3 linked regions of the Drosophila melanogaster genome follow. The protein of the gene in region 2 interacts with the protein of the main gene of each other region in a pairwise test. Each region holds a gene or a part of one and is shown on either strand. Other genes may lie near its edges.

Region 1 (7,457 bases), 7.0 Mb from region 2:
CGCATGAAGATGAGTTTTTTATGGTTTCGTGGCCGCTCCCCAAACATGAATTTATGATGACAATTAAGTTTCATTGAAACGGGCTTACGTGCGTGCCAAAAATGGCTGACGAAGCTGCTTCGCTTTCTACCAAACTCAATGTCAGATGTACGATATAAGGTTGCAACAGCAGTTGATTTTCGATTGGATTTTATATGTAAGTATACCTAAAAAGAAATTAACTAAGTAAATATTAATAAATAAATGTACTTTTAAAGACTTATAACAATTTTCTTTAGACACTATTCTTCGCTTCTCTATTATTGGACAAATATGTTTTGTTTGCTAACATTGGTGAAAGATGATTAACATATTTGAATACGTAGTTTTCCACTTGGATTCCTTCAAATAATTTCCCTGTAAATTCCACAATGCAAAGTTGACTTAAACTGCACATGCAGTTTTCTGTTTTCTGTTGGCCTGCATTTGCTGAATGCAATATTCATAGATAGAAAATTGCGCGCCACTTTCCTGGCTTCTTGGCTCATATGTTTTCCCTCCCTGTCCATTGTTGTGGCTACCTTTTTTGGTATGCGACAATTTCACTTTTGGGCCACTACACGAAATATTAATGAGCTGCTGCCGCTCAGTGTAGAACATTGAACCTGGCCAACGACGTTCCCAAGCCCCTCGCTCACTTATTCAGTTTGTTAGTTGTGGGCGCCCTTTGCTGGCGCACCACTGACGTCATGGGGGGACTTTCATTAATTGAAAATTACCCAAGCGCACCAGAGGCAGAGGCATGTAAACAGCGCCGGGCTGCAAACTAGAGCCGGAGCTGAGCTGGGCTGAACGGAGCTGCCTTAACCCGGAATTCCATTCCAGCCAAGCGGAATGAAAGTGAAACTTTGAAAAGGTGTCAATTTTGGAGATGCCACTGAAAAGGTTTGGGGCGGCTAAGCGGGTGGGGCCGCAATTGAGGATTGTTTGCTTTGAATGTGCGATGCTTTAAGGCGGTTTTATCTCTAGAGCGAATATTTCGCATGCTTATTTGGGTCAGCCAGCGAAATGGCCAACTATGAACGAAGGAGCCATCAGAAGATAGCTTGCGAATTAATTGAGCGCACTCTATTGAAATGACTGGGCTAAACTGAAATATTAATACAACTAGTTGTATTAATATGAAATAAACTGCAATTACTAATACGTTTTAAGAGTATTTAAGAGCTTTTCTCCTCAATAAAACCATAACTTAAATTTTAATGTTGTTTCTATATTGCATCACTCAATGTTTAAAGTGGCGCAGTTGAAGTTGTATAAGATGTTAGCAATTAAATTACTTTTTCACTTTCGTTGCGCACGCACAATGCTAATAACTTGCATCATATTGACTCTTTAACACTCTAACTGGGACACAAAAGACGTACTTCACTGGGTTAAATATTTTGATAATTTTTATGTATATTATAAATATTAAGTGTGAAAGACAGAATAAACAATTTTTTCCATATTTCTCCAATTAGCTTGTGTGTAATAATGTAAGAAATAAACTATTAAATGGTTGTTTTCAGTCCGAAGCTTATGAAATATAAAAAAAATATATATTAAAGGTTTTCTATCAAAGATTTTTCATGTAAAGATAAATATTTAGAAGCATATTTATGCATATTATATCACGTTATTATTATCATTATAGATAAATCTAAAGGATGGACTGAATTTGAAAAGGGCCATTGCAGAAAGGGCATTAGATGAGACACATCACACATCGTGACAGTGGCTGGCATATCCAAATCCAAATCTACATCCACATCCATCCATATGTTCACGTGCACGGCATTTACATATTCCATCAACGGATTTTGGGCTCATGTTGCCGCTTTGGATAATCGTCTGCGAAATGTCGAGTGGCTTTGCATCTAGATGCGAGCTGTGTGTTTTGTGTCTGTGAGGTTGTTTTCGGCAGCATGCAAATTTGCGGCGTAGCTTTCTTTCGGGGCACTTGCTCGTCTAATGCGTGAATTACCGGCTAACGATGAGCGATGGACGCTGGACGATGGACGATGGACGATGGACGGCGGAGCGATGGGGCGGCAGGCAGACGTGTGGCAATTTTTGAGTGCTGCAAATTAAAGCGACATAATGCCAATGAAACTCTAGTGCGACAGTCGCTGTGCATCCGTCGACGGCGATCGGATTGGCATACAAAAGTGCAGATACATTATGCGAGATGCCCGCTGGGGGCACAAACAAACACATAAATAAAAAGCAAAATTAAAGTGAAATTTCCTCCACCGTGCCGCGGCAGCGCCAGCAAACTAGTTAATTTTCTATTTTACTCCAATTCGAGTTGCGGTTGCTTTCGACCATCGCCGGCCATCTTAAATGGCGCTCTTGATTAACCACCCACCGCCCACTCCCGCCGGACTACCACTCGTGTGTGTGTGTGTGCGGTCTGTGTGTAGGCAACTGCAATTTGAAATGAAACCGCTGCTGCCGGCACTTTCTGCTGCACTCGAGATTTACACAGTGCTGAAAGTGTGCCATCATCAGGTGGCGCCTCAAAGGTGCATCAAATACGTTAGCCACGTATTACAGCTTGTTACATTTTACCTGGGTCTGCTGTGTAATCAAATAGTCCAGAACTAAATAACAACTCACAGTCCTTCAACCAAATAAATATGCAAAAGATTTGTAAAAAGTGGAAATACAGGCAAGCGTCTAGTTGGGAAACAAGCGGCTTTCAAGAGCGTATTCTCCCTTTTGCAGTGAGTTAGAAACCTCACATGATTTCAAAGGTGTTGCAAACGTATTGTGTGCAAAAACACAACATAAAAGTAAATATGTAATGGAAAATTCTGTTTATTTTGAGCCTTTTAGCTAAGCTGATCCCAGTTGGAAGGGTTAATTAAATTGAATTTAAGCTGCCAGTTATAATAGCATATGCCGTATTCTAACTCTGCAGTGACCTGCAAAGAAAAATCGCTCCTTTTAAAATGTATTTTGAAAAGCTGGCTGACTTAATCCAGGTAAGGTACAGTTGCACCCTTGTTTACGAAAAGTATTGTTCTAAGCATTACCACATAGGATTAAGATTCTTATAATTCCAAATTTTATTCTTATAAATTTAATTCACAAAGCTTTCCCTTAAAGCGACACGTAATGCAAGAAAAATCAATATTTAAGGGCTGGCCGATCTGTCTATTGGCCCCCTGAACAATTGGCCTTCTCCTTGTGGCAGGCAAACAGCTAACTGCCGCCGAAGTGTGTTGACAAACAACAACTGCCAATCCGACGAACTCTGCCAGCGTAAACGGCGACCGCGCCACCGCGTCCACTTCGGCGCACCTGTCCAGTTGTCGCTGCAGCGCCTTGTATGGCCGGCCACCAAGACTGTGCGACTCCGAGTGCGACTTCGGCTGCAACCTGGCCAGGTTCGTGGTCGGGTTGTTTATTTAAATTCTAAGCTCGGCTACTGTGTGCGATGGGCCAAGCGGGGCAGTCGGGGGGCTCAGACCACTTGCGGAGCGCTAAAGCGTCAACGTTGTCGTTGTCGTCGCTGCTGGCCAACGCTGCCGCCGCTCTGCTGGCCGGGAATAAAACTCGATCCGCGTGCGTCTTCTAGCCACAGTTTACCGGTTGCCTTCTGACCGACAGATCGAACACGCCAATCGAGCGCAGTGCACTCAATCAAGTGAACACACACACACGCATCCCCGAATCGCCAGGAAGTGGCAGGATATCAAATCAGCGCAGCAGTGTCGAGTGTTTGTGCGAAGCATTCAAAAAAAAAATAATACAAAAAAGGAAATACCCATCACGAGCCATGTTCAAGTTCGTGTGCCTTTTTGCGCTGATTGCCTCCACGGCGGCGGCTACCTCGGAAGCGGACAGCTTGCTGACCAGCGCTTTGAAGATGGTCAAGGACTGTGGCGAACGGTCCATGGTCTTGTGCATGAAGGTAAAGCATTTAGTTGCCAGTAGCCCGAGAGAAACCTATCCTAATTCATGATCCACCCAAAGGAGCGAGCCCTGCACTACTTCGATGCCGAGAACGGGGATGTGCGGCTCACCGAGGGCATTGCCCTGGTCAAGACCGATGAGATCCCGGTGGGTCGATCCCTCAACGAGATGCAACTGCCCGAGGAGGTTGAGGCCCGGGAGGCCGAGGTGGACTCCCTGCTGGTGGAGCGCGTTGCCCGCTTCTTCGGCACCCACACGCTGCAGTTCAAGGTGCCCAAAGACTCCATCCAGGACATGCAGCGCGCCCTCGAGGAATGTGAGTATCTGGCTAGTACCCATCGAATCCCACATAAATTACAGTTCTGGTCTGGCCAAGACATTGCCTATTTGGGTTACTAATGCAAGCGACCAGTTCGGGCAGATGGCTCTGGCACAAATCCTGTTTTCACTGTTAAGTCTCCGCCATATCGAGGTCATCCTGTGATGCAGCCAGATGCCCACATAGGCACATGGCCACATGGCCACATAGCGGTGCATTGGCAGCTGGTTATCCAGATAGTTGGCTATTAATTGCACTTTAGTCAGGCAGTTAGCAAGGCTTACTTTCTTTTTGTGCGCAGCGGCTGCAATTTCCGATTTCCAATTTCTATGCGCAGCCACATAGAAAGCGGTCGATCCTGTTCGCTTGCTAATTATCTGTGCTCCAGTTGCTAATGAGCGGACAGCTCCGCTCCAGCGAAAGTAATGCAAATCATATAACTAACTACCAAATCGTTTCTCCCCCTGCAGCTCGCGGCAAGAAGAAGGAGAAGAAGAAGTACCTGATGCCCCTGCTAATGCTCTTCAAGCTGAAGATGGCCGCCCTGCTGCCCCTGGCCATTGGCTTCCTGGCCCTGATCTCCTTCAAGGCCCTGGTCATCGGCAAGATCGCCCTGCTGCTCTCCGGCATCATTGGGCTGAAGAAACTGCTCGAGTCGAAGAAGGAGAACTACGAGGTCGTTGCGCACCCGCACTACGAGCACGAGCACAGCTACGGCCGCTCGCTGCCATCTGATGACTCCCAGGCCCAGCAGCTGGCCTATGCGGCGTATAAGCAATAAGCTGCATGCCAAATATTCTGAATGCTGAATGCTGAGGCAACCGTAATCAGTGCAATACTCGGAGGGCCGTCTAATTTATCTATTTATTTAATTTATTTGTATAGCATAGTTCATGCCAGGCTTACACACTTAAGGCGCCATCAAGAGAAATAGAAGGAAAGGTAAATCCCGAACCCACACAAATAGGTCTAAGGAATCAGCAGCTAGGGACTGCCGCCAGAGGGGAACACCTGGCGTCGTTTAATCTATTCTTAAAAATGACTGCCACTGTCGTATTAATACTCAGAGCTTTATTATTTAAAACTCTACGCTTAACTTAACTTAACTCAACTGAACTCTTAACCAAACTATTAAACTAAACTGCCTAACTCTGAACTGCCGCTAGGCGCAGAAAAAGCCCCCCTGGCCAAGCCCTCCCCCACACAAAACAATAAAAGAAATGCCGCATTTATTCCGAACATGTGTATTGCTGTCTTACTGTTTCAATCGAATATCGCTCATACGCAGCGAATTGCTTTCACTCTTTCACCGGCTAAGGCGAACTAGGCCAGCAATATCAATTGCATGGGCGACACACAAAATCACGGAGCAAGATCGCCGGATTTCACTTGAGCCAGCTAGTCAGCCAGTCAGCCAGGCGTAAAGCGCAGCAGAAGCCTCTTCCTCGGTCTCGGTCAGTTATATATAAACACATATGTATATCCAATGTCGCTCCAGAAACTGGCTCACATCTCGGCATCTCGGGAAAATCTAATGAATGTTGCGACCTGCTTTTTTGTTTTTTTTTTTTTTTTTTCGCACACGCAGTGCAACACGTACGCCCCAAACAAATTAGGTGTGTGGATGAGAGCATGGATTCCAGTTCCAGCTGGGAGCACGCCCCGCGGCTGCAATTTATGGCCGTGGCCTGGCATCGCCATTCGGCATATAAATGGCCAAAGCCGACAAAACCCAAGGCTCAAAATGGCCAAAAGGCCAGGCCGCCGCCTCGTACGTCTTTTATTTTTTGTTGCTAACTATTTGTAAACAACTGCAGGCAACTGGCAGTGAATTTCAAGTATTGGCGGTGAAAGTGTTTATTAATACAATTTCTTTTCTGTCGCTGCGCTTTGCAATAGGAAATTTATTAGCTGTCGGCCATTGCCCGCGACCTGGCAATAAAAGAAAACAAACTTTTGTAAAATTACCAAAGTTTTCGGCGACAACCGCACAGGCTAAACCGTAATTCCAATGCCAAAAATCCTTAAAATTGGCCTCGAATGATCGAATAACTTGGGAGGAGTCTAAACTTCTCGAAACTTTATCTTCTCGCCTGTCTACTCAGTTTTGTCAGGGGAATTGGGGTGTTCTTGAGTTCGCCAAAGGTCTTGGGGTGCTAAGTTATCAGAGACTTTCATAGGGGGATATTCAAATTTCTCCCACAGCATTGACTAGGAAAATACTCACCTGTTTTTGCTGGTATTGCAGTCAAGTCTCTCTTGACGTGCTGGCATCACCAAACCAAAGTCTTAACTCTTACTGGCTTCGCCTAAAAGTTTGCTAGGACTTAACTCTCGAACTCAGGGGATTATTCCACTGATTTGTATGCCGTTTAGCTTCATTGTGAAACTGGTTATTATGGTAAAGGAAACGTACATCTTTGTTCTACAAGTAATAATGTAACGTTCTGAAACTTTTTCGATGTTTAAAAAATACATGTAAATAATATTAAAACGAGAATAGTTATGGAACTAAAAAATGTATCATTATAAACCTTTTTGGGTTCGGGTTTTCCTTAACACCCAAACCAAGTTGATTTCCCAAACGTAAATCGGTTTCCCTCCTTTCCGCTTGTTTGTTTTCTTAATTGACTTGTGGCAATTTTCAAGTTTTTCTCTGTAAACGATTGAACATTACTGGTAATTCCCTAAGCGACTCCGTTCATTTAATGGACCGGCATTAGCAATGGTAATTGTAAATATTCCGCGTGGTCCGAGCGGTGGCGCCTCCAAGTATTTCATAATTCCTGTGGAAATACAATAACTGCTTGCATAATGGGGGAGATGTGCGAAAAATTGGCCACCAGTCGCTGCAGCTTTGGGTCGTGTGCACTGACCATGACCATGCCGGCTTAAATAAGAAGCGGCCCAAGACGAAGAGCCCCTGGTTGGCGTTGATGTACAACAATTTCCGTTATTGGGCCATGTGCAAAAAACAGCGCGTTAACTGAATGAGAGCAGATTTAGCCAAAAGACCAGTCGGTTATTGTATAACAAGATTTGGCGGATATAAAACAGAAGGGTCAGTTGGCCAGCGGGCTCAGTTGAGATCAAAACACTCGACCATTATGTCGCCACTGGATATCGTTTTGCTCCTGGTCAGTTTCCATCAAGTGATTGGCAGTGACTTTTCCGCCATGAGTTTGGAGTTCAAGCA
Region 2 (10,185 bases):
GCGATTACTCCATTGGCACAGTCCTTGGTCAGAGTATGGACTATGGCTGCCATGGAAATGGCCGCCACATAGACATCCTCCCGATTTGGTGAGTTTTCCTCCGGCTTGGAATTCTTCTGCACGAAATCCTGGCTCGGACAGTTCCATCGCTGCCACTGGAAACTCTGTTGGCAGCTGTCGAGGGCCTGTTTCAGCCCCTTGCCGGTTATATCCTCCCAGGAGAGTGGTGCCTGGAACTGGGTGTACTGGTAGTAGCTCATGGGCTCCAAAACTGCTGCCAGAGTGCTCGTAATACCCATGAAGAATGTGATGGCAAAAATCATGTTGTCTGTTTATATTGTTGTTATGGTGCTATCTCTGCGATGTCGTTAGATCGACTGAATGATGATGAACCGGGTCAGCACACTTATATAGCCTGCAAATCCCAAGCCAGGGCGCCCTCCTGGGGCCGGCCCGTGGGAATTTCGGGCCTGCTCAAAAAACCGGAAATTTGCCGTTTTCCACTTGGAAATTTTGCATGGGCAGGGGGTAGGAACTCCCGGCAATGGACGGGTACAAAAACCCACTGGCAGCCCGAGACGCAATTGCGGAGCAGCCCAGTTTCCTGGTTGACTACCTGCTCTCGTCCTGCGCCGGCGGAGGTGAAGGATCCGCCTTGCTGCGAGCAAGTTTCCCACGCTTAGGCAGGTAGAGCCGTAAACGGCACCCGACGTGCTCATGAATGAAGCCCAGTCGAGTCCATTCAATACGGCCGGATTTTCCCGGACTCACACTGCACAACATCAATGCCCGATACGGGGACGGGTTTGTTTGGGTTTTGGACTGGTCAAGCCAATTATATAACAAAACATATGACCAACAGTATATACACGTATAATCTGGGAAATTAATTGTCCTTTGTGGTGAGCCGGCGGGAACTGCCAGTATTGTTGCTATATTATTTAAAAGTTAATACCCAGGATTATGGTGTTAAGCACCATTAGGAACAGATATCCAGATATTGGTAACGGATTTTTTTGGGATTTTTTTCAGATGAAAATTTGTGCATGCCTAAAAACAATACCTCAGAAATGATAAGAGTTAAGCAATATTAGCTACAGCATTTAATTATAGTACTCGAAAATAAAAGGTAAACACTTATATTCAGTTTCATTTGACCATGAATATAATCTCTTTAAAATAATGGCTTGTTGTCACTTCAAAGATAATGCAATTAGTAAAAGTTAAACATCTGATTATTGACCATCAAAAATGCGATACAAAGGGCTTATAATCATCAAGTGGCCATACTTGTGTTGTAAATACATCTATAATATTTTTTATGGGAAACTTCCCCTTTACAGAACACATCTCACAAAGCCAAAGTCATTATAAAGTACTTCAGTTCCAGGCGTTGCGAAAACGTGTGCGGAAATTTCGATGTTTGGGTTTTAACACAATGAAAATACCGATTCTCTAATTAGGTCGAAAGTCCTGTCTGCGTAGCACCGGAAAAGGGTTTTTTAGGACCTAAGCGCCGGGTAAAACAGAAACAGAGAAGGATAGCGGGATCACGTAGGATCGCAGGTAGTAAAAAAATTGCTCAATTGGTGTTCGTGAGCCTGAGTACAATCACACATATGGGCCTTGACACTGGAAGTTCCTCGGGGCTCAGCAACCAGCTTGGAATTCCGACTTGACGAGGAAAAACGCGCCAGATCTTTGGCATTTCTAAGTTTAATCAAAGCGCCATGACAGGGTCCATAAATTCGGGCGATTGTCAGCCGCACCGGCACTCGTTCCCTACATATGTTCCGGCTAATACCCAAAAAGCAGCTCATCGACTCGCGATTAGATTAGCAATCTGCAAACGCAGTCAGTCAATTAAGATATAGGGGCCCACTTGAGATTCCCCCACTACATAACCTGTCGCTATTTTACCAAGGAGAACGCTTAGTTGCGCTTTGGACTCCGCTCGTGCCGGATTAACGTGCTATGATTGTCACCGCGAAGTTGGTGGCCATTGGGCTGGGCCTCGCGCTCACGGCCTTCACCGTATCGACCATTGTCCTGGCCGTCCAGAAGGCGAATCTTAAGAGTGATTTGCGCGATGCCCAGGAGAAGTTGGATCTCCTGGAAGCGGGATATACGAGCACAGCTGCTCCGACAACAGCGAGTACTGCGAATCCTGGAAGCACAGCTTCTCCAGGAAGCACAGCTGAGCCGGGAAGCACAGCTGAACCCGGAAGCACAGCTGAGCCCGGAAGCACAGCTTCTCCAGGAAGCACTGTGACACCTGGTTCCACTGCTTCAACAAGTGAACCCGGCACTACTGCATCCCCCGAAAAAATCGACTACCGACTGCCCGGAACTCTGAAGCCCACCCACTATGATCTCTATCTGTTTCCCAACATCGAAACTGGTGAATTCAGTGGACAGGAGACGATTACTATTACAGTTGAAGAGGCCACCGACCAGATCGTCCTGCACTCCCTCAACCTAAACATTTCGAGTGTATCCATAATGAATACTGGCAGTGATACTTTGGAGATCCTGGAGACAACAGTAGATGCTGTGAGGGAATTTTTAATATTCCAGCTGAACGAACCACTGACAAAAGGTAGGACAGTAAGGCTGCACATTGGATTCGAAGGATCGATGGCCAACAAGATTGTGGGACTGTACAGTTCGTCGTATGTGAAGGAGGATGAGACCCGCAAGTGGATCGCCACCTCCAAGTTCGAACCCACCTACGCTCGCCAGGCTTTTCCCTGCTTTGATGAGCCAGCATTGAAGGCCGAGTTCACCATTACTCTAGTGCATCCTTCTGGGGAGGATTACCATGCCCTGTCCAACATGAACGTGGACTCGAGTGTCAGCCAGGGAGCCTTCCAGGAGGTCACGTTTGCAAAAAGTGTTCCCATGAGCACTTACTTGGCCTGCTTTATTGTCTCCGACTTCGCCTACAAGCAGGTGAGCATTGACACTAAGGGCATTGGAGAAACCTTCTCCATGAGTGTCTACGCCACTCCGGAGCAACTCGACAAAGTGGATCTGGCTGTGACCATTGGCAAGGGAGTCATCGAGTACTACATTGACTACTTCCAAATCGCTTATCCGCTGCCCAAACTCGATATGGCTGCTATTCCCGACTTCGTCTCGGGCGCCATGGAGCACTGGGGATTGGTCACCTACAGGGAAACATCGCTTTTGTACGACGAAGCCACGAGTTCCGCCACCAACAAGCAGCGCATCGCCAGCGTAATTGCCCACGAATTCGCTCACATGTGGTTTGGAAACTTGGGTAAGCTAAATGGCGGTTTGCATAGATCGGAATTCGTATTCTTAACCGTAACTCCAATTATCTTCCATAAGTAACCATGAACTGGTGGAACGATCTGTGGCTAAACGAAGGATTTGCTAGTTTCGTTGAGTACTTGGGCGTAGATGCCGTCTATCCAGAATGGAAAATGGCAAGTGCACCTAGGTTAATTAAGGTTACATCCAACTTATTTACATATCATATCAATAGCGCGATCAATTCACGGTGAGCACTTTGCACAGCGTACTCACCTTGGACGGAACCCTCGGATCCCACCCGATAATCCAGACCGTGGAAAATCCGGACCAGATCACGGAGATTTTCGATACCATCACGTACTCCAAGGGTTCCTCTCTCGTCCGAATGCTGGAGGATTTCCTGGGGGAGACAACCTTCCGCCAGGCGGTTACCAATTATTTAAATGAGTACAAGTACTCCACGGCGGAAACGGGTAACTTCTTTACAGAGATCGACAAACTGGAATTGGGATACAATGTCACAGAGATTATGCTAACATGGACGGTGCAGGTAAACACATAGACGTTTACTTCTAAGTTCGCGAATATTTCAACACCCCATTCCTTTTTTGCAGATGGGTCTGCCAGTGGTCACGATCGAAAAGGTGTCCGATACGGAATACAAATTGACGCAGAAGCGCTTCTTGTCCAATCCAAACGACTATGACGCCGATCACGAGCCCTCGGAATTCAAGTGAGTGTGCAGAACTTATTGCCTGGACGCTATCTGATCGCGAATTTCGCACATACATTATATAGCTACCGTTGGTCGATCCCCATCACATATTTCACCAGCTCGGATTCGGTGGTGCAGCGTCTGTGGTTTTATCATGACCAGAGCGAAAGTAAGTGGTGTCGTCTGTATGCTGGAGCACGGCTCCCCAGATCTTTGATCTCTAACTTGTTATATATTTTGTTTGACAGTCACTGTAACTGTTCCCGCTGCCGTCGAGTGGATTAAGTTTAACGCCGATCAGGTGGGCTATTATCGCGTTAATTACGATACCGATCTGTGGAATGATCTGGCCGATCAGTTGGTGGTACAACCAAGTGCATTCGGCTCTGTGGATCGCGCTCATCTCCTCAACGATGCTTTTGCCCTGGCCGATTCCACTCAGTTGCCCTATGCAACGGCCTTCGAGTTGACCAGATACTTGGACAAGGAGACCGATTATGTTCCCTGGAGTGTGGCTGCTTCCCGTCTGACTTCGCTTAAGAGAACACTCTACTACACCAGCACCTATGCCAAGTACAAGAAGTACGCCACAGCTTTGATTGAGCCCATCTATACCGCACTCACCTGGACAGTCGGCGAGGATCATTTGGATAAGTGGGTAGATTCTTTAAGAGATGTGTGTATTTTTTATATCATTCCCCTGCATCTCTAGCCGCCTTCGTGTCACTGCTTTGAGTGCCGCCTGTTCTCTGGGTCTGGAATCCTGTCTCACTGAAGCCGGAGAGCAGTTCAACGCATGGCTGGCCAAGCCGGAGGATCGTCCAAAGGCCGATGTCCGTGAAACTGTCTACTACTACGGAATACAGTCCGTTGGAAGCCAGGAGGATTGGGATGCAGTCTGGGAGCTGTTCGTCAACGAATCCGATGCCAGCGAGAAGTCCAAACTGATGTATGGCCTGTCTGCCATCCAGATTCCCTGGATTTTGCAGCGCTACATTGACCTGGCGTGGAACGAGGAATACGTGAGGGGTCAGGACTACTTCACCTGCCTTACCTACATCTCTGCGAATCCAGTTGGTGAGTCCCTGGTTTGGGACTATGTCCGGGAGAACTGGCAGCGACTGGTGGACCGATTCGGACTCAACGAGCGTTATTTGGGCAACCTGATTCCCTCGATCACTGCCCGCTTTAGCACCCAAACCAAGCTGGAGGAGATGGAGCAATTCTTCGCCAAATATCCGGAAGCTGGAGCCGGCACAGCTGCCCGGGTGAGAGCTCTGGAAACGGTTAAGAACAACATTGTTTGGCTGGCCGAGAACCTGGAGGGTGTGGACGCCTGGCTGGACAAGCAGCCACTGTAAAAAGTCCAAGGAAGTGGTCTTGCGACCATGGTTACCATTAAACATGTACTCATCTAATTGCCATTATAAAGCAAAAATTTGCCGAACAAGTGGAAATAAAGATAAGCTTAGTTATTGGAAAAACTGAAATTACACCTCCATAAATAAGCAATTATCCATTGGACTGATTGGTAACATGGGTTGATAATCAAGTTTGGGTGGGTGCCACTATTGGACACGAAAACTTTTGATTGACATTTATTGCACGTCCAAATTTTCGCACTAAATTTGACATCCAATGGAAATTTACTTCATATATGATAAACCCCCATTAATTGATTGAAATATAATTTTATAGTTTTATTGTTACGCCTTTTAAATTATCTAAAGTCATTTAAAACTAAAATATTTACCAAATTGAGCAATATACGCAGACTTTTAATCTTTAATAGTTCTATTAAGCAATGAATATGTAAAATAAAAATCTTTTTTCTATTTTTCTCAGTGATGTGGAGAGAATCTAATTAATATGGCTAATTACCAATAGCACAGATTTGCGTTAGGGAAAGAGTAAAAGTGGCTTAAATGATGTTATTAAACCCATAGCACAATTATGGTGTCATAAGCCACGCGAATTCATACCCTACCGCTCCGTATTTTCCCACTTTCTCTGGCTTTAACCCTATCGCCCATTTGACCGTAATCGCGTCAATTTGGCCAATCACTATCGCAATCGCCGAAGCGAACATAAACCATTTCCAGTGCACACACTATCAACTAATCGAATATTGGGCAACAAGTGGTAAGAGTTGGTTCGAATGACCTAACGCTAGTTAGTCGCTCGCGACAGGTGCGATTGCTAAGATGTTCCTCAGTGGCTATTGGTTGCAGGTGGTGCTCTCCTGGGCGGTGGTGGCCTTTGCCACGGCCACGGTTGTGGTGGCGGTGCAGAAGGCTCAGCTGGAAAGGGACCTCCGCGATGTGCAGGACAAGATCGATGTGTTCGAGGAGTGGAGCGGAGAGAGCCGCACTCGCATGAAGCGTGAAGATACGGTGTGTAATCACTTGCTAATCAGTTGAATCCATTTACTACCATAATCTAACCCTGAAGACGGATTACCGCCTGCCCACGAATCTGGTGCCCACGCACTACGAGCTCTACTGGCATCCGGATCTGGAGACAGGAAACTTCACCGGACAACAGAGGATCAGCATCAAGGTGGTGGAGGCCACTAATCAGATTATTCTGCACTCATATCTCCTGGATATCACAAGTGTCTATGTGCTGAATAGAGAGGTGGAAAAGTTTGAGCTTGAGGAGGAACGTCAGTTCCTGATCATAACTTTGACGGAAGAGCTGGCGGTGGACGCCAGCATTACTCTCGGAATCATTTTTGGTGGACAGATGAAGGATAAGCTTGTGGGTCTCTACAGCAGTACATATCTAAACGAGGCAGGAGCTACCAGGTATTTCGGATATTTTTACGTTATGCCCAAAAGTATGCAATGTGTTCTTATGACCAGATCTGGATTTGTTGTTTTGTTTTGAATTTTTATTTGAATACTTTTTCAATATATAAATTAATATTTTCCTTATGCAGAACCATTTCTACGACGAAATTCGAACCCACTTACGCGCGTCAGGCCTTCCCATGCTTCGATGAACCAGCCATGAAGGCCACATTCGCCATTACAGTGGTTCATCCATCGGGATCCTACCACGCCGTTTCCAACATGCAACAAACGGTGAGCTCAAGTAAACAAACAATTTAAATGGGTTAAACAAAATTTAAATAATAGGAATCCAATTATCTGGGTGACTATACTGAGGCCATCTTCGAGACGAGTGTGTCGATGAGCACCTACCTGGTATGCATCATTGTGTCCGACTTCGCTTCCCAATCGACCACGGTGAAGGCCAACGGAATTGGCGAGGACTTCTCCATGCAAGCCTATGCCACCTCGCATCAGATCAACAAGGTCGAGTTTGCTCTGGAGTTCGGACAAGCTGTCACGGAGTACTATATTCAGTACTATAAGGTGCCCTATCCGCTGACCAAACTGGACATGGCCGCCATTCCCGACTTTGCATCTGGGGCCATGGAGCACTGGGGATTGGTGACTTACAGAGAGACCGCTCTGCTGTACGATCCCAGTTACAGTTCCACAGCGAACAAACAATCGATAGCCGGAACACTGGCCCATGAGATTGCACACCAGTGGTTCGGAAACCTGGTCACCATGAAGTGGTGGAACGATCTGTGGCTGAACGAGGGATTCGCCCGCTACATGCAGTACAAGGGAGTCAATGCTGTGCACCCGGACTGGGGAATGGTAAGGAAATGGATAATACCGATTTGAATCCTCAAAGAAAATATCTTATATTTACCAATCAGCTGGAGCAATTCCAAATCGTGGCCCTGCAACCCGTGTTGTTATACGATGCCAAGCTATCATCCCATCCGATTGTCCAGAAGGTAGAAAGCCCCGATGAAATTACGGCCATATTCGACACCATCAGTTACGAAAAGGGAGGATCCGTGATCCGCATGCTGGAGACACTTGTGGGCGCCGAAAAGTTTGAGGAGGCGGTGACCAATTACCTGGTCAAGCATCAGTTCAATAACACGGTGACCGACGATTTCCTCACCGAAGTCGAAGCTGTGGTAACTGACTTGGATATCAAGAAACTGATGCTCACCTGGACCGAACAGATGGGTTATCCGGTGTTGAATGTCTCCAAGGTTGCAGATGGTAGTTTTAAGGTTACCCAGCAGCGATTCCTCTCCAATCCAGCCAGTTACGAGGAAGCCCCTTCAGATAGCGCATACGGATACAAATGGAGTGTTCCGATTACCTGGTTTGCTGATGATGGTTCAGAGAACAGCTTCATATACGACTACGATGTGGACTCTGTGGGTATTGCCGTGCCCAGCGAGGTGCAGTGGATCAAGTTGAATGTCAACCAAACGGGCTACTATCGGGTTAACTACGAGGAGAGCCTGTGGGCCCTGCTCATCCAGCAGCTAACCACCAGTCCCGCTCGATTCGAAATCGCCGATCGTGGCCATCTTTTGAACGATGCCTTCGCCCTGGCGGATGCCAACCAACTATCCTACAAAATTCCTCTGGATATGACCGCTTACTTGGCCCAGGAGCGCGACTTCGTGCCCTGGTATGTGGCCTCCAATAAGCTGAGGTCGCTCCATCGCAGTCTCATGTTCAGCGAGGGATACGTGTCGTACCTCACCTATGCCAGAAGTCTGATCGCTGGCGTATACGAGGAGGTGGGTTGGACTGTGGACGCCGACAATCACTTGAAGAAGTACGTATATAAGTACCAACTTGTTTTTCTGAAAACATTACTCAAACTACTGTTATTCAAACAATCTTTATTCCTTTGCAGCCGCCTGCGTGTTTCCATTTTGACCGCCGCCTGTGCCCTGGGTGTTCCAGATTGTCTGCAGCAGGCTTCCGAGCGCTTCAGCACCTTCCTGGAGAATCCGACCACTCGACCTTCCCCCGATCTTCGCGAGATTGTCTACTACTACGGCATGCAGCAGTCCACCAGCCAATCGAGCTGGGATCAGTTGTTCCAACTCTTTGTGGCCGAAACCGATGCCAGCGAGAAACTGAAGCTGATGTACGGATTGTCTGGCGTACGGAACAGCCAGTATCTGTTCGACTTCCTGGCACAGGCCTCCAGTGATGAGAGCATCGTTCGCTCCCAGGACTATTTCACCTGTGTGCAGTACATAGCCGCCAATCCTGTGGGTGAACCGGTGGTCTGGGAATTCTACCGCGAACAGTGGCCCCAACTCACCACCCGTTTTGGCCTGAACAACCGCAACTTTGGACGACTTATCGCCCAGATTACGGCCAACTTTGCCAGCTCCGTGAAACTGGAGGAGGTTCAGCACTTCTTCTCCAAGTACCCCGAATCGGGAGCTGGAGCTAACTCCCGGTTGGAGGCCGTGGAAACCATCAAGTACAACATCGAATGGCTATCCAGAAACGAAGCTGACATCACCGACTGGCTAAGTGGAACGGCCTCGCCGCTGACCAAGAAAAACCAATTGTAAAATTGTATATTGTATATAAACTGGCCATTTAGCCAATAATTAGAGTTGCATAAGCGAAAATTCCGTTCGAGTTCAATAAAATGAAATTTCAAAATCAAACCATAAATACAACCCCCATATTTTCATTCATTTTATCCGAGGCAAGTGGGGATTTCTATAGCTTCTAGGAAATAATTGGAGATAGGGTCTTTGAGTATATGGTCAATGCGGAATCATGACCATGCGTAATTATCCTGAGTAATTAGAGTGTCCAGTCATAATAGTCGATATATGGCCTTGTTCGAATCGTAAAAGTAATGGTCTAGCATAAAACGATTTTATCTGGACACGAAGCTATATAGTATATAGTCTAGATATCGGTCAGCAATCTGATCAGGTTTATCAAGTCCAAATTGTGGGGTCAGATTCGCAACTTGCATTCAGTTTCCAATTTGGCTTCCAGCCTAGTGGAAGCAGTCGAGTAATTTTCATCGAAAAAAGAATATCCCTAAAAATGGTTGCCTGTGAGTCTTCTATATAGAGTAGCATATCCCGAAGGAACAGTAACTAATGTGAACTCATTTTAGGGCTGACGGTTAAGTCAGTGGCCATCTTTTTGGGCCTGGCCTCTACTGCTTTTTGTGTGGCCACGATTGTGCTGGCCGTTCAGAATGCGGACCTGGAGAACGATCTGCAGGATGCCCTCGATAAGATCGACGCATTGACGGTGGACACCACGTCCACGTCCTCCACCTCTACCAGCACTTCCACGACCACCACCACTGCAAAT
Region 3 (7,463 bases), on a different chromosome or scaffold from region 2:
GCTTGAGTCTTTGAAAGTAAATGTTTAAAAGAGAAAACTCTTTTAAAATGCATAGTAGGTTATATTTCTTGAGGCCATATAGCTCCACGACTTTTTTGATATCGTCTAAGGGTCCCTTGGTTTACCCAAATACCACGCTGCCTTACAAAGGAAACACATGCAATATCTTAAACTTAGCATATAGTGTAAGACAAGAGCTAATACTAGATGTAAGCCGCAAGTGCTTTGGATAACCCTAGATGCAAACACACACTCAGGAGCTTGGGATGATATCGCCTTATATGCCATATATACTATACACACATGCATCCACACACCACAGAGCTACTGACCTCCGCGGACATCGAAGACGGTAAGGTGGAGTTCGACAAGGCCACGGGTGCCACCACCACGTACAAGGTGATCGAGGGTGGCTACGAGGTGATCACCACCTCTCCGCAGCCCAATGGAACCATCAAGACCCAGGTGCGAACCTTCTGGGATCCCAAGCCCGTTAGCGAGGAGGATCTGAAGAAGGAGCAGGAGAACAAGAAGCTGGTCCAGAAGCGTCTGGGCAAGGAGATTCGCATCGATGAGCGCACCACCATGCTGACCCGCGCCATCGAGGGTGGCTACGAGGAGGTGTACACCACCATCAACGAGGATGGAACTCGCAGCTCTCGCACCAAAACCTTCTACGACTCCGTTCCAACCGAGGTGGATGAGAAGACGGCCGCCAAGTTGAACAAGAACAAGAAGAACGTGACCAGGAAGTCGTCGGTGGACTCTACCGATTCCACGGAATCCTCCCGTCGCATCGTCCAGAAGCAGCAGAAGAATCTGGTGCAGAACTATGATGAGCAGACCAACTCCACCACGACATCAGAGCGCAGGGTGTCGGTGACTCAGAACATCGAGATCACCGAGAACAATCGCACCGTGCGCAAGAACTCGCTGCAGGAGCAGAACGTCAAGGCTATCACTACCACCTCGAACACCTCGTCCAGCGACAAGAAGCAGAAGAAGAAGCCCAAGTCATCGGCTCCACCACCACCCGCTGATTTCTTCCAGAACGATACCACCTCTGTGGCCTCGAAGCGTGTGCCCGGCGGTGTGGAGTACACCTATTCCACGCAGCTGGATTCTGGCAAGACCATCACCACCTCGAAGACTGTCTACGAGGAGGAGGAGGTGGAACTCACCGAGGAGGAGATCCGCCAGTACAAGAAGACCCTGAAGGACGCCGAGAAGCACAAGAACGTCTCCACCACCAAGAAGCTCAAGTCCGAGTCGGGTACCAAGAAGATCGTTCCTTCCGAAAATCCCGGAGATGTGACCACCGTGGAGACCATTAAGATCGAAGGTGGCACCGAGTACCACTACACCACCGTGACATCCGAAGGCATCGTGAAGAAGGCCGTGAAGACCGTTTACGATCCAGTGCCCAGCCAGAAGTCCAATCCCGATGACACCGACGAGGAGGAGATTATCGAGGAGTACGAGGAGGAGATCATCGAGCCCGGCGAGAAGAACGTCAAGACTATCGAGACCGTCAAGCAGCTGCCCAGCAAGTTCGAGGGTGAGGATAAGCCAGTCCACTTCATCCGCAGCTAGGTTATATTAACCCATTTTCTTTTTTTTCGCAGAGGAAGTGACCATCACTCATGAGAGGAAGGAGAAGAAGGTAAAGAAGTCCATGGTCATTAGCCAGTAGAGATCGCCGCTTGCCCACACCGAAACACACTCAAACACACACGACACTCACACAACACACAAGGCACAAGAATACACACGAAAAAAAAAACAAGCTTATGAAATGGCCGGAAAATAGAGAAGAAAGGCCCTGCGAAGATCCCGATCCCAAGCTAATTCTCCTGACCTATTTCAGCATCCAGTTCAGTTAGTTGCTGGCGGTCTTTGCACGCTACTCGTTAGCTTTGTTATCAATTACCAGCTGTCTAGTGCCCTAGAAATGTATTACGAAATTATCCAAAATTTATTACAAGAAACTATCTAACATAATTGTAGCCTCTTTTGTTAACAACAAAATAAAACTCAAGTTTTGGTTCTAATTCTTCTTGGTCTTCTTCTTCGTCGGAGTGCTCTTCGGCTTGGAGCTCCTGCGGCAGATCAGGATTAGAACTACGATTGGCAACAGGATCACAGCGAGACCTAGACCCACAATGTCCAGTAGGTAGAACTGGTACCAGGGTAGATGTACACCAGCGGCCACCAGATGAGGAGCACCTCGGTGCTCGATCACATAGTTGATCCAATATATGGCCGTATCCATGGCACCGAGTGGTCGATCGCGGAATATCCGGGAGGCCTTCTTAATGTTATTCCTATACTTTGGATTCTCAATCAGTTCCATCAGCAGACCTCGCAACTCCTCCACCGTGACTTTCCGGTAATCCAGTCCCAGTGCATATTCTGCACTCTTACCCTGGTTAATGTTCTGATGCTGATCACAGTAGACTGGCATTCCCAATATGGGAACACCATTGTACACCGCCTCCTGGGTGCCGAAGAGTCCTCCATGGGCAATGAAAACCTTGACATTCGGGTGCGCCAGAATGTCGCCCTGAGGTAACCAACTTTGCACCTTAACGTTAGCCGGCAAATTGGGCAGAGATTCATCTTCGAATTTCCAGAGAACGCGTTGCTTCAGACTGCCAAAGACTTCCAGGAATACTTTGAGCTTCTCAGGCGGCAAGTCGGCACTTCTCACCTGGGAACCTATGCGAAAAATAGATGAAGTCATTAGTGTTTTTAGATTTAAAGTCGCAGGGTTAAGGACACTCACCCAAGCTAAAGTAAATGGCACCATGTGTGGCTCCGTCCAGGAATTTTTGTAGATGCTCCGGTAGTGCCTTCGGTGGTTGAATGTGCAAACCGCCCACTGGGATCATATTATATGCCATCGGTCTCGAAGATGCCAGTGGCATGTAGCTGTTCAACAGAATGGCTGAGATATTACGTTCGAGTTCTTTGATGGTCGGTACTCTGTCGAGTAGCTTGGAGAAGTGCTTCTTTAAGACCGCATCCTGACCGGGGTAGTAGGAGAACTCTCTGACGAGATCCTCGGCTGCACTCATGGCCACATTGCCGATGCGTTCCCACAAAGTCATGCGATCCGTATAGGGCATATAAGCGTGTGGTACATATGACCAAGGAGACACTACCCCAAATAGCTGACTAAGGTGGTTGGCATTACCAAATGTCGAAATAGTTATGGTTGGGATCTGGTACAAGTGTCCCAGGATGAGGGCACCCTCGTTGAAGAACTGCTCCGCCAGCAGCAGATCGTATTTGCCAATTTTGTTCTTCTCATTGATTACTGCCTGAATCTCCGGTTGTTCCAGTGCGAAATCCGTGGTGTGGATACCCATCACATTGACCATTCGCAGGAATGCAAAAGTTGGCAAATCTGTCATTTCCAAAACGGTGTTCTTATTGGTCATCTCCTTAACTATGTGCAAGTGATTAAGTTAATACATGTTTTATCAATTAGCAACCATACTCACTTTCTGGCCAAAAATCGTATTGAGGAATCACAATTTCCTTATAATTTGATCCAAGTTTTTCCTTGGCCAAGGAAAACGGAGTAATAAAAGTAACCTCATGTCCTTGCTTCACCAGCTCCCGTATGATGGCATTGGTCATCATGAAGTGACTCTTGCCAGGAAAAAAGAATGCTGCCAAGATGCGGGAACCGGTACCCAACTCTAGTTGCTGAAGAGCAACCAGACTTAGGAGAAATATGTGCAGAGCACTTTTCAAAGACTGTAAAATGCAAAATATTTATAATCATTATCTAAATTGAAGCTTAAATGCAGCATGAAACAGTCCTTCATTTGAACTCAAATAGTATTCGGCGATAACAGGTAACTTTAGTTTAAGTTTCGGAACTTGCGTCTATTACGATTTCAAAGCTTTTCCTTTAATTTAATTTATACATAAACGAGAGCTTCAAAAGCTTATTTACAACATATCAACATACCATTTTGATTAAACGACACTAGTAGCAACCAGCAACCGACTCAGTGGACCGCTCTCGAACGACTGCGAATGCGTTCAGATAGATCGTTTCGTTTGGGCCTCTCTGTAGATCGGCTTTATATGTTTATATACATATAATGTTTATGTATATGTTTATGTACGCTTTTAGAACCCTAGAGAATAGCAAATGTGAGGTTCGTGCGAAAAAAACGAGAGAGCTCTTTATTATCAAAACGGGGCACTTCATCAGCGTGCTCTACAAAATATCCCTTATCATCATGGAAACGTTAGATTTCTTGCGGATAATAGAAAGTTATTCTTTCTTAAGGTCGTATTCGTTGTTTTGGGTAATCTATTTGCTGGTTGTCTAGGTACGTAAGTTTTCAAACTATCTTTATCCATATCATTAGCAAGAGAGACAATCCTCGACTATCAGATAATATCGTTTTTTCTACCTGTTAGATACTTTTCAACGAAACTAGTAAATCGTTTGACTTTTCGATGCGAAATAGAAGATATAGACAGAAACATATACTAATATATTAAGATTTTATTGAAGATATTGTATTTCTCAAACATTTTTAAAGTAATTTGTTTAAATAAACCCTTAAAATACTTTAATTTTGCTTAGCTTTCCTGTGTTTCTTATTACTGCCCATCAGTAATCGAATGGCCAATGAGAGAGCCATGACGCCAGCTAAAGCAATGATAGCCACAAATGCTATGACATCCAGCAAATAGAATTGGAACCAGTTGAGATCCAGGCCTGCGGATCTCATATGTGAAGCACCTCGATGCCGGATGACATATTCGATCCAATAGACGGCACTTTTTCGCGGCTCCAGCGGACGATCGCGGAAAATATCCGATACCCTCTGAACGTTCTCTTTGTAGGTCACATTATGGATAAGTTGGTCCAAGGAGTGCCGCAGGATTTCCTCGGTAATCGATTGGAAGTGCAGACTAATGGCATATCCGCCCAAAACCGCTTTGTTCATATTAAGGTGCTGCAACATAATATATTCCTATAGAAGCAGTTATTTATATAATTAGTGAAATATACAAATACCTGATCACAGTAGAAGGGTATACCCAGCATGGGCACAGCATAATGCACTCCCTCCTGGGTGCCAAATAAGCCACCGTGGGTAATGAATACCTTCACATGACGATGGGCCAGAATGTCGGCCTGTGGCAGCCACTTCCTGACCATCACGTTATCTGGCAATTGGCTAATGCTCTCATCCTCGAATTTCCACAATACCCGCTGCTTGAGCGAACCGAATACCTGCAGGAACAATCGCAGCATTTCCACGGGCATGTCCTTGCTCTGGACATTGCTGCCCAGGCTGAAGAAGATGGCCCCCTCGGTGGCGCCATCCAAGAGGGCTTGCATGTCAGCCGGCAGCGGTTTGGGTGGATAGATGTGCATCCCGCCCACTGGCACCATGGCGTCCACTGTGGGACGTGCCGTGGTCAGCGGTGCGTGACTGTTTAGTAGCATCACTGAGATTTGACGCTCCATGTGCTTGACCTTGGGCACCTCGGCTGGAAAACACTGTACTCAGGTGTATGTTCTCAGATAAACCATTACCGTAACTCACTCAGTACGGGTCCAAAGAACTCCCTGGCCACCGCATCCATTTTCGGAAAATAGTTTAGCAGCCTGTCCATGTCTTCGTAGAAGGATGCATAGGAGTTCTTCACCCTCTCCAGGAAACTCATGCGATCGGTGAAGGGCATAAAACCGTGTGGTACAAAGGACCAAGGTGTAATCAGACCCATCATCTGACTCATGTGATTCTCATAGCCCAAAGTGCTCGTGGTCACCACGGGTATTTTGTACAGATGAGCCAGTGCCAAGAAGGCCTCCTGATAGAACTGCTCGGCCAGGAGAAGATCGAAGACTCCTTCCTTTTGCTCGGCATGAATGAGAGACCGAACCTTGGGCTGCCGCAGGGCATGTTCGGTGGTCTTGAGGCCGATAATCTCCAGCATTTTGAGGAAATCATAGTTGGTCATGCGGGTCAGCTCGAATAGGTGTTGGGCTCCAAAGTTCAGCTTAACTGGTTCCAAACGTAAATATGATGATCATTAAATCAAGCTCCACTCACCATCGTGCCAGAAATCGTAGACCGGTTCTATCAAGATCTCCGTGTAGTTGCTGCCAAGTTGCTCTTTCTCCAGACTAAAAGCTGTTACCATGGTCACCTGATGACCACTTTCGACAAGTTCCCTTATCAAAGCAGTGTGCATCATAAAATGTGATTTTCCTAAAATATTTTCCACAACATAAGCCATAAGTTGGCTTTGTACATATCTTAAAATACTTTACCCGGAAAGGCATACACAGCCAGGATTTTTGATCCTTCGGCCAATTCCAACTGGGAATATAATGTTCCAGTCAGAAGGAGGCCAAATAATAATGGAAACTGCATACTGAGCAGCTATACTATAATTCTTATTTTTTGCCAAATATTGATTTTGTTTTTGTTTAATACTGGCTTGACTTCTTTTGTTTGTCCGTAATAATCTGTTAATAGATTTTGTAAGTTTGAGATTCTGAAGTTTGTAGCTTAATATCAAAAGATAGATTAAAGGTGCGCAAAGTTCTTGTTTTGTAAACAAGTTTGACTTTATTACAGAAACAAAATTATCAAATGAATAAATGAAAATAAAAAATGCTGGTCATCAGCAGCTAATCTATGTTCCATAAAGATTTCAAGCATTTGTGAAATACAAATTGTTTACTTTTAATAGGGTTGCTGATATAAAGAGTCAATTTAATTGATGATCGCGTGCTCGAAAAGCTTTCCACTTGCCTACCGATGAGATGGCGAAGGCGAAGCCAACTATTGAACCTCCGAATGAATACTGAACTCGAGCTCGGGGTTCCGAGAAAACCCAATATATTTCCGAGTAGTATAATAAAAGTCAAAAGCACGTAGCAATTTAAGCTTTCTTAATCGTTTTATTTTCATCTTTCAAACGTATTTGCATGTCAATGTGTGTGTTGTTTGGTCCTTAAATGCTAGGTATTAAGCAATCGGTATATTATATGTAATTAGATTAAGTTAAATTATAACATTTAGCCTATAATGCGATTACTTGTCAACGAATCTCCACGCCTAATGTAATTTACATTTTCATATTCGATACAAATTGTTTAAATTATTCTCGTCTTTATACAAAAATCACATTCGATTCGTTATGTATTCTGCTTGTGTATGTGTGTGTGTGTGTGTGTGCGTTTGCGAGTTTTGTTATAAGTGTTAAAATGTTGCCTTTCGATTAGCGTGAACTTTGTTCGAGTTCAATTAAAGTTTAAGTACTAACTTGATATATGCAATTAACAAACTTCAGCTCCTTCAGCTATCCGTTGATGAAACACACACACACAGAGTGTGTGTGTGTGTGCGGCCTTTGAGAAATTTTAAATTTTAAATTTCTAATTTTCAATTTTCCATTTTCCTGGCTGCAAA

What was found.
Region 1: the proteins of CG8773 (region 2) and Osi9 interact in a two-hybrid assay, tested with the Drosophila melanogaster proteins (one large-scale study listed by BioGRID).
Region 3: the proteins of CG8773 (region 2) and Ugt49B1 interact in a two-hybrid assay, tested with the Drosophila melanogaster proteins (one large-scale study listed by BioGRID).

Annotation. Positions count from the first base shown.
Region 1 is NT_033777.3:6,256,608-6,264,064, forward strand, and holds Osi9 (osiris 9), read left to right. Parts: upstream 1-3,603; 5' UTR 3,604-3,805; coding exon 3,806-3,940; intron 3,941-4,002; coding exon 4,003-4,258; intron 4,259-4,731; coding exon 4,732-5,042; 3' UTR 5,043-5,498; downstream 5,499-7,457. Other genes in the region: Osi10a (osiris 10a), read left to right, coding at 7,369-7,457.
Region 2 is NT_033777.3:13,292,816-13,303,000, forward strand, and holds CG8773 (uncharacterized protein), read left to right. Parts: upstream 1-1,932; 5' UTR 1,933-1,974; coding exon 1,975-3,283; intron 3,284-3,354; coding exon 3,355-3,452; intron 3,453-3,511; coding exon 3,512-3,829; intron 3,830-3,893; coding exon 3,894-4,012; intron 4,013-4,077; coding exon 4,078-4,163; intron 4,164-4,242; coding exon 4,243-4,648; intron 4,649-4,706; coding exon 4,707-5,355; 3' UTR 5,356-5,473; downstream 5,474-10,185. Other genes in the region: wntD (wnt inhibitor of dorsal), read right to left, coding at 1-323; CG8774 (uncharacterized protein), read left to right, coding at 6,199-6,387, 6,446-6,801, 6,936-7,080, 7,135-7,668, 7,731-8,659, 8,741-9,416.
Region 3 is NT_033778.4:21,210,921-21,218,383, forward strand, and holds Ugt49B1 (UDP-glycosyltransferase family 49 member B1), read right to left. Parts: upstream 4,053-7,463; 5' UTR 3,986-4,052; coding exon 3,983-3,985; intron 3,766-3,982; coding exon 3,507-3,765; intron 3,452-3,506; coding exon 2,786-3,451; intron 2,719-2,785; coding exon 2,048-2,718; 3' UTR 1,960-2,047; downstream 1-1,959. Other genes in the region: CG44245 (uncharacterized protein), read left to right, coding at 304-1,558, 1,626-1,693; Ugt49C1 (UDP-glycosyltransferase family 49 member C1), read right to left, coding at 4,599-4,988, 5,051-5,529, 5,586-6,047, 6,096-6,254, 6,317-6,419.